Linked DNA regions of Oryctolagus cuniculus. The protein of the gene in region 2 purifies or fractionates together with the protein of the main gene of each other region. This does not show direct contact. Links are inferred from orthologs where the notes say so. Each region holds a gene or a part of one and is shown on either strand. Other genes may lie near its edges.

Evidence for each region. The genes of interacting proteins can lie anywhere in the genome.
Region 1: the proteins of ILF2 (region 2) and IGF2BP3 purify together in Homo sapiens (affinity purification with mass spectrometry; 3 studies listed by BioGRID and IntAct, counting the BioPlex papers as one, with this or other methods). This does not show direct contact. The link is inferred for Oryctolagus cuniculus from reciprocal best matches to the Homo sapiens genes ILF2 and IGF2BP3.

The regions. Positions count from the first base shown.
Region 1 is NC_091447.1:15,444,523-15,448,641, forward strand, and holds the start of IGF2BP3 (insulin-like growth factor 2 mRNA-binding protein 3), read right to left. Parts: upstream 2,801-4,119; 5' UTR 2,569-2,800; coding exon 2,394-2,568; intron 2,170-2,393; exon of another isoform or gene 1,999-2,169; intron 1,519-1,998; coding exon 1,458-1,518; intron 1-1,457. UniProt on the Homo sapiens protein: RNA-binding factor that may recruit target transcripts to cytoplasmic protein-RNA complexes (mRNPs). This transcript 'caging' into mRNPs allows mRNA transport and transient storage.
Region 2 is NC_091438.1:44,650,797-44,655,021, reverse strand, and holds the start of ILF2 (interleukin enhancer-binding factor 2), read right to left. Parts: upstream 2,801-4,225; 5' UTR 2,734-2,800; coding exon 2,729-2,733; exon of another isoform or gene 2,683-2,728; coding exon of another isoform or gene 2,672-2,682; intron 2,351-2,671; coding exon 2,300-2,350; intron 2,174-2,299; coding exon 2,114-2,173; intron 1,876-2,113; coding exon 1,833-1,875; intron 1,174-1,832; coding exon 1,069-1,173; intron 735-1,068; coding exon 657-734; intron 338-656; coding exon 235-337; intron 1-234. UniProt on the Homo sapiens protein: Chromatin-interacting protein that forms a stable heterodimer with interleukin enhancer-binding factor 3/ILF3 and plays a role in several biological processes including transcription, innate immunity or cell growth.

The DNA of each region.
Region 1 (4,119 bases), on a different chromosome or scaffold from region 2:
CGCCCATTACAAAGTAACAAGCATGTTCAGGGCTAGGCAAAAAAAAAAACCTTTAAAACAAGCAGTTGTTACCAGAAGATGTTTCTCAATCCCCTACAAGTGAGAAGAAATTCACAACAGTTGGAAACAAAAAGCAAGAGGGTGAAGCCATCATATATTTGCATGTAGGTTAATCCAATCTACCTGAAAACAAGACACTAAGTATTTACATTTAAAACTCTCCACTGTTAAAATGCCAGTCCTTAAAGCATTACCATTTTCTTACTTTTAATTCAACATTTGATGAAAACTAAGACAGTGCTTAAACTCTGAAATCATTTAGAATTTGCAGGTGTAGAGGTGTGTGTGTGTGTGTGTATTTAGGTTCACAATTCACATGCTAGACGTATACATTTCTTTTTAGAGGGATAAGACTTCTCCTTTCTTCAAGTCCCGTTCAATTAACATCAACTGAGACTTTTCAGTACAAATTCTATTATTTTACAGGTTTTTAAAAATAATTTCATGTAATTAAACATAATTCCCAACTACAACTAAATCTAATCGGTTACTCCCTTTCCTACGTATCCTAACGAAAATTCAGCGCCTAAAACCAGAGACCTCCACGTAAAACCAAGCCGACTCATTCCTAGAAACGAGACTCAGTTTGCAAACGCTTTACCCGGAAGGCAGCTGGTTGTAGAAGCAGGGGCGGCCGGACGCCGGCGCGCGTCCGCACAGCGAACCGTGCGGCCCCCAGCTCGCTCTCCCCGACGCCAGGCCGCACGTACGCAGGCCCCGGGGCGCGGCAGCCTGGAGCTCCTTGTCAGGCCCCGGCAAGGAGTGGGGCGGTGGGAAGCAGGAGCCCCAGGGCCACCCTGCAAGAACCCAGCGCCACACACAGGATTACAGAGCCCGATCCGGCCTGGTCTGGAAAACACTTCAGAGGCTCGAGGAGTCTGCACAACGCTGCCCCAAAAAAGGCACGCTACGCACGTTCTCGGAGAAATCCTCCTGCAGAGCTAGCACCCACCTCCCCGTCTCACCACCCTGGGGCTCAGCTGAAAGCAAAGAGAGACCCAGGAAAAAGGGGGCAGGGGGCGTGGGGGCGCAGAGGGAGACAAAGGCACGGTCGGCAAAGACCTGTGTGAGTCTGGAGGGGCCGAGAGAGGCTCCGCTGGGCCGGGAAGCCCAGGCTTCGGGACGGGACCCAAGCGCGGCCGGCGCGCCAGCAGGGTAGGGGCGAGCTCCGGCCTCGCGCCCCGGCTCCCGGGCAGGCCCACCGCACCTGGGCCGGCCGCAGCCTCCCGCGCCCTGCGGCACCACCTAGACCTGCTATGCCCAGAGCGTCCTCCGAGAGACCCCCTTCCTCGCCAGCACAATGGCCAAGAGCCCGGGGCGGGGTGCGGGGAAAGGGTTTGCGCTCGGTGGAGTCTGGGCTCCCAACAATGGGGCGAGAAAAGAATAAAGACGCTCACCTCTGCCGTTTTGGGACCGAGTGCTCAACTTCGATGGGCTTCCCGTGCAGTTCCGTTTTACCTGCGGACACACGAGACATGAGACTGTCGGGTCGCCGGAGCCCCGAGCCCCACACACCCTGGGCGGCGCCACCGGCCGCCCCGAGGCCTCGGCGCCGCCGCTACGCTGGTGGGCAGCGGGCCCCTCGGGAAGTGGGGGCCCCTCGGGTGGCAGCCAGGCACCGGGTCTCTCCGGCCTCTCCAGGACCCTCCCCCACAGGGCCGACTCGGGGGAGAGGGCGCCCAGTCCTGTTCTCTGGTCCCAGCCCAGGCCCTCCGGGAACCGTTGGCGCCGGAGCCGGGGCCGGCCGGACGTGCGGCCGAGCACAGGGCGAGCCGAGCGCCCACAGCCAGGCTGAGTCGGTAGGAGGAGAAGCCCTAAGACTCAGGGCTCTCGGAGGGAACCAGCGCAACCTTGCCGCCCCAGGCCTCGTCGCCCCGCGCGCCCCGGACCAGCGCGCGCGCCCCGCCAGTCCCGGAGGCCGCCGCCGCCCGAGCCCACCTGCCCCCGGCGCGCGTCGGACGGGGCGAGGTGGAGCCGGGGCGGCGCGGGACCGCCCGTGCAAGGCACCAGCCCCGCGGCCTCCCTAGGCAGCCCGTGTCCGGGATACCGTGCGCTCCCTTAGGCCGAGAGGCAGCCGGGTCCAGGCCACGAGTTAGCGAGCAGAGGTTAGCCCGCAGGGAGCAGCAGGGCGAGCAGGCGCCCGCGCCCGGCCCGGGCCCGGCGTGGCGGGGCCTGGAGCGCGCGCCCGCCGCGGCCCCGCGCCCCTCCGTGCCCGCGCGGGGCTTTCTTGACAGCGCGTCCGGCCCGGGCCCTTGGACCCCCGCGCCGCGCGCTGAGTGCCCGGCCTGGGGTCCCGTGGCGCCTCCGGGCGCGGCGGCCAGGCCGGGGCCCACCTGAGAGCGCCTCGATGGCCTTGAGGGCCCAGCCGTCGTCCGGGCAGTCCACGAAGGCGTAGCCCGCCTTCACCAGGAAGGGCCCCGACACCGGGATCTGGGCGTCCTTGAAGATACTTTCGAGGTCCGCGGGCGCCGCGTCCTCGCCCAGGTTCCCGATGTACAGTTTGTTCATCGCGAAAGGGGGCGGCTCGGAAACAGGAACACAGCGCGGGGTGGGGTGGGGGGACGAAAAAATGAAAAACACGGCAGCGGCGAGGGCCAGGTCCCGCAGGTCCGCGCGCGCCGAGCCCGGGTCCGGGGGGCGCGGGGTGCCCCTTCCCGGGCGCTGCAACCGAGAGCGAGGAGAGAGAAAGCCCAGCCCCAGCCCGGGCGCATCCACGAGTCTTCCCAACTCCGAGGAGGAGGAGGAGGAGGAGGAGGCAGAGGCGGAGGCGGGACCAGCCCGCGCGGGGGGAGGGGCGGGGGAGGAAACTACTTGGCGCCCCCCCCACCCCCGGCCCGGCCCGGCCCCGCCGCGCGGCGAAAATAGCGCCCGGCGCGGGGCCCGGCGCAGCGCCGCCCCACCAGGCCCCCGCAGCGCGGCGGGCACGCGGGAGGGGCGCGGGCGGGCGCAGGAATCCACGGCGAGGGCCCGGCTTTTTGAATGAGCCACGTGTTCAAGCTACAAATCAACGTCTCACGTGAGGAATCCCGGCGCCTCAATTAGAGTGGGTTTCGGAGGAGAGGAGGCAGAGAGCGAGAGGCGGTGGGGGTGGGGGTGGGGGTGGGGGTGGGGTGGGGGCGGGGCGGCGTGGGGGAGGGGCGCGGCCGGGGTGGCGGGGGACGGGGGGCGCCGCCGAGTTTGCCCGGGGGCCGGCGGGGCGGGAGCGAGGGGTGGGGGGAGGCCGGGGCATTGATTTTATTTTCCAGGGTGCAGGGGTTGGGGTTGCTTGCTGGGCAGTTCCCCGGCTCTCGGAACCGCAGTTTTTAATTATTCGATTTTTTTCCTTTTTTTTTTTTTTTTTTTTTTTGCAAATAGGTGATGAACGACCAAGGCCGAGAGTCACCGTCCCCAACTCGCCTGGCTGCCTGGAAGACGCCGGAGGTGCGGGCCGGGGCCTGTCCCCACCCCGCCCCGCCCCCCGGCGGCGGGGACCGGACGCGGCGAGGGGCGGGGGGCCGAGCCCCGCGCCCCCGGAGCCGGCGGGGGAGGGGCGCGGCGTCCGGGGCGGGCGTCTGCGCGACACCTCCTCCGCCTGCGCTCGCGGTGGCTCTCGGCTTCGCGATTGCCATTGGCTGCGCGGCTCGGAAAAGGCTCCGGGATAAATGAGGCCGGGGGCGGGCCCGGCCGCCGGTGGGGGAGGGGCGGCCTGCGGGAGACCCCCCCCCCCCACCGCGATCTCGGGGCGGCGAGGCGGGTTGGCACTTTTATGGAGACGATTTCAGTTGGAGAACTTGGGAGCCGTGCGGGGGAAGACCGCCCCGCGCCAGTCCTGGGTGGCAGCCTCACTTGCAAAATGGCCCGAGCCGCTCCCTGCCGCCTCGGTGCGCGCCTTCGGCGGGGCGAGCCCTGCGCCTCTCGCCGGCCTGGGGCGAGCACAATGGTGGGAGTGGGGGAGGGCCTCGGGCGGGGAGCCTGCGAGGGTCTTTCGGGTGCACCGGAGCCCTGGGATGGGCTCGTAGCAGACAGTCCAGGGGAGAGATGGAAAACGCTCGTCTTTAAAGTGAATGAAATCCTACGCAG
Region 2 (4,225 bases):
AAAGATAACATTCTGGATGGGCTCATTCTTTTGCCTCCCCTCCCCAGGCTGCCTCCAGTTGAGAAATACTGCCTTATAGAACCGGCCATACATTCTTTCACTCACTCCAGTTTCTCCTTTGTCATGTTGTAAAAAGAATCTTTTCTCACAAGAAAGCTGAGCTTTAAAGAGCCTAGGCCTCAAGCCATAGAACCTGCCACATTCCGTTCCCACTGTCACAAGACAGACACTCACACGTCGGCAGGATCTTGAGTATCACCACCAGGTCAGCCACATTGTGTCCTGTAGTCATTGTTCCCTTTTTGTAAGATCCTACCTGCCGGACTTCTTCAATTTGCTGTTGGGAAAGAGATTTCAGGAAAAAAAATTTCAGATGCCTCGATGCTCTCAGAACTCTGTGATAGGTAACAGCTTCCTATTACTCAGACTTGGAAGTAGCAAAGGTAAAATCCTACCCCAAGAAACCACATGAAAGCCTGGCCCGTCATGGCCGGCTGGTATCAACACAAACCGTATCCCCAGGATCAGTATTAACAAAGAAAGGAATCCCACTGTACTGTCCAGGTTCAGGCAACTGAAAAACTAAGAGACAGGAGCCAAGGAAATCTGCACATCACCAAGGCCGCCCTTTCCTGGGGCTGTCATCAGAAACTCACCACTTCAAATGTCCCCGGAGCCACAATCAAATTGTCAATCACATTGTTTATTTTTGTCACCAGAGAAAGGATAGAAGCCTGAAAAACAGTAAAATCCCAAAATGAAAAGTTGTAAGCAATTGCTCTGAGTTTGGATATTTTCTCCTGATCCCTTCTGTGGAAGCTGCCAGCCATCAACAGAAGGTTCTAAAAACAACTCAGTGCTTCTGGTCTTGAACTTGCCACAGACAGATTCCCCAGTGAAAATACAAATGTCTATGCCATGTGTTTAAGACGCTCACCTCGCTCCCCATCTCCAACCACAGTGAGACAAGAATGCAAGCTTTGGTGGGCCTCAGGCTCAGGGAACCTATTCTTACTCTCCACTTCCCTTCTGTGGAGAAAGCTCAGAAAGGGAGCCACGAGCACACACCTGTTCGGCAGAATTGGGAGCAAGGTCCTGATTCCTCTTCAGCAAAGCTTCACTGAAGGAAGTCTCATCAGGGGCCGGCTTGACCCGGGGGAAAGCCATTTCACACTAAATCACCAACAAACAAGTATAAACCATTGACCACCAACAACATACAGGAGAGACTGGTTTTATTCCTCTATTAGTGCAACAGAAAAACTTGAACACAGAAAATTCTGCAACACTTGCGGTGCAGTGGGTTAAGCTGCCACTGGCTTCTGATAACAGAGTCCCGGCTGCTCCACTTCCAATCCAGCTGCCTGCTAATGATCTTGGGAACGCAGTGGATGATGTCCCAAGTTCCTGGGCCCTTGTCACCCATGTGAGAGACCAGGATGCAATTCCTGGCTCTTGGCTCCAGCCTGACCCAGCCCTGGCTATCGTGGCCATTTGATGAATGAAACAGTGGATGCAAGATATTTATTTCTCTGACACTGTGCTTTTCAAATAAATAAATCTTTTGAAAAAACCTTCCAACAAGGACCCAGAAGAACAGCCATAATTTATGTTCTTACTACCTTTATATTAACAAATAAGCCAGAGATGCAATGAGTTGTTCAAAGATTATAATCAGGTTATTGCCAAGTATGCTAACACACAACCCCAAGGCCGTTCCCAAATCCCTTCTCCTACTGCGACCACCATGTCAGGGGGCTGTTGGCCTCCACCACTTCTCCATCTGCTGGTGACCAGGGGTCAGGACCCGTTCACCAACCCAAAGCACTTACCAAATAGAAATCAAATGGGATATGCGGCACAAAGGGCCTGAACCTGCAACAAGACAAACAGCTCAAATTATTCAGCACACAGCAATCAAGCAAGATGTACACGATGCACCAGCAATTTGGAAAACACAGACGCACAGCTTGCGGAGGGCCGAGTGGGCTTCTGAGCAAGGCCCGCAGCAGAAGCAGGGTGTGACCCCGCAGCCGGCTCGCACAAAAACACCCTCAGACCCCGCCAACCTCCTCTTAGGTGCCCCAAACTAGCAAGGAAAACTGGCACTCACCCTCCGCCCGGGCCGCCTCTGGAGCCGAAGCGCCCACCGCGACCACGGCCTCTGTCACCCCTGGAAATGCACAGACGTTACTGCCTGGGAGCCGCCGCGGCCCGGCCTCGCTTCCCGCCGGCCGCCCGCCGCCGCCCCCTCCCACCCCGCGTCCCGAATGGCGCCCGGCCCCCCACTGCTCGTGACCTCCTGCTGCCGGACGACTTATCCGCCAGGTAACAGCGTCGCGCAGCGCCCCTGCGAGAAAGACCCTATAACCCGGGGGCACGCCAGCCCCCAAAGCCGGCGCTCAGCGCCCCGGCCGGGCACATGCCGGGCGTCACACGCGGGCCGTCAGGACCAGCGCCGCACGCGGGGAAGCTCCCCCGGCGGCCTGAGCACGACGCCCTCGCGGAGGCGGGCGCCCGCCGCCTCCCCGCCCCGGCCCCAGCCCACGCCGGGCCCGCGCTCCCACCTCCACCCGCCGGGCTCCCCGCGCTGCCGGCCCCGGAGTTCGCGGGGTTCCGGCCGGCCGCAGAGGCGCGGCCCTGCCCGGTCCTCCGACTCCTCTCGACCCACCTTCCCAACATTCTCGGTCGGATACCCACAATCTTTCCAGCACCTCGGTCCCCCTACCTCATGGCGCCCTTAACACCGAACAATGGAGGCCGCACCAACCGCCCCTTTCCTCAGAGAAGCAGACAACTGGAAAGGCGTCTGGCCGGCGTGTCCCAACAAAACGCGCTGCGATTGGCTCCCGCCTTGCTCTGTCGCTTATGCTTATTGGTTTGCTTTGGAGAACCGGGCTTATGGACCAATAAAAAACGGCTATCGTGCCAGGAACCGGCCAATAAGAACAGGCGTGACAGTAATTACAAATTTTTTGAGCCAACACTAGGTGGCGCTGGATAGACTTTAAAAACGACGAACAAGTGAATTGCCTTTTATAATAGCGGGAAGGTTGGTGTCCAGTAGCAGAGTGGCGCAGCGGAAGCGTGCTGGGCCCATAACCCAGAGGTCGATGGATCGAAACCATCCTCTGCTAAGGGCTTTGTTTTTCGCTTCTCAGTTCCACATGCTGCTACAGTACTCCCTCCTTTAAAACCATCTCGCCAATCTTTGCTGCTTTTGAAACGCATCTTCTGCCTCTACCGCCATCGTGTAAAAGGTACCTTCCCTAGAAGGGAAGGAGTGTATGGACTGTGGTGGAGAAACAAGCTTTGAGGTGTTAGAAGGAAAATTGACAAAGTCTTGGAATGACAAATCAGAGAAGGAGAGTCAAGAAAGTGGCGGGTCCCGTCTTCTCCTGTTCCTGTTTTTTGCTCCTGCAAATCCTGGCATGATCCCGCCTCACCCTCACCGGCCACACGGACACACGGTATTTGCATTTCCTTAACGTTTGTTCCTCCTCGGCGTCCCCTCTCACTCACTGGGGGGGGGGGGGGGGGGGGGCCTGCAGCCCCTTGTGGTGGTCCCCAGAAAAGTGAGGCCCGAACTGGAAACAACCTAGAGGTATTTACACGTGTCTCGGCGAGTTGGCCGTACTGAATTCATGGAGAGTGGATGACAAATTGGTCTATGTGTACACAACGGAGTGCTACGAAAATCTAACAAGAGCAGATCGCTGACGAGTGCAAAAACATGGAGGAACCCGGACCGTGTCAAGCGAAAGAAGCCAGACGAAAAGAGAATACATACGATGCACCCTGATCAGAGGAACCAGAGCGGCTGCTTTCCCGGCCAGGGCAAAGCAGAGTGAAGGAACTTGCAGTGAGCGAGAGGGGACATTAACAACATTAACCAACGCTGAGGCGTGGAAAGGTTACAAAAAGCCCAAGTGATGGCATCGATTTAAATGCAAATACTGTGCATCTGGCAAGTGAAGCTGTGAGGCGGGATCATCCCAGGATTGGTAGGATCCCTCCTTTGGATCTTCCATCAGGCCCTGAGCACCATTCCCACGCCCTAAAAGGAGGACCCAAGCCTGGGTGTGTGCTATCCTTTCATCCTTGGATAAATCCTGCTTCTCTGCTCACCTCTGTCTCCTTCTCCCAGTTGTATCCTCACACATGGGAAGACAGGAACCTGGGCTATGTGGCTGGGGGTCTCACGGGGCCCGGCCTGGGGTCTCGG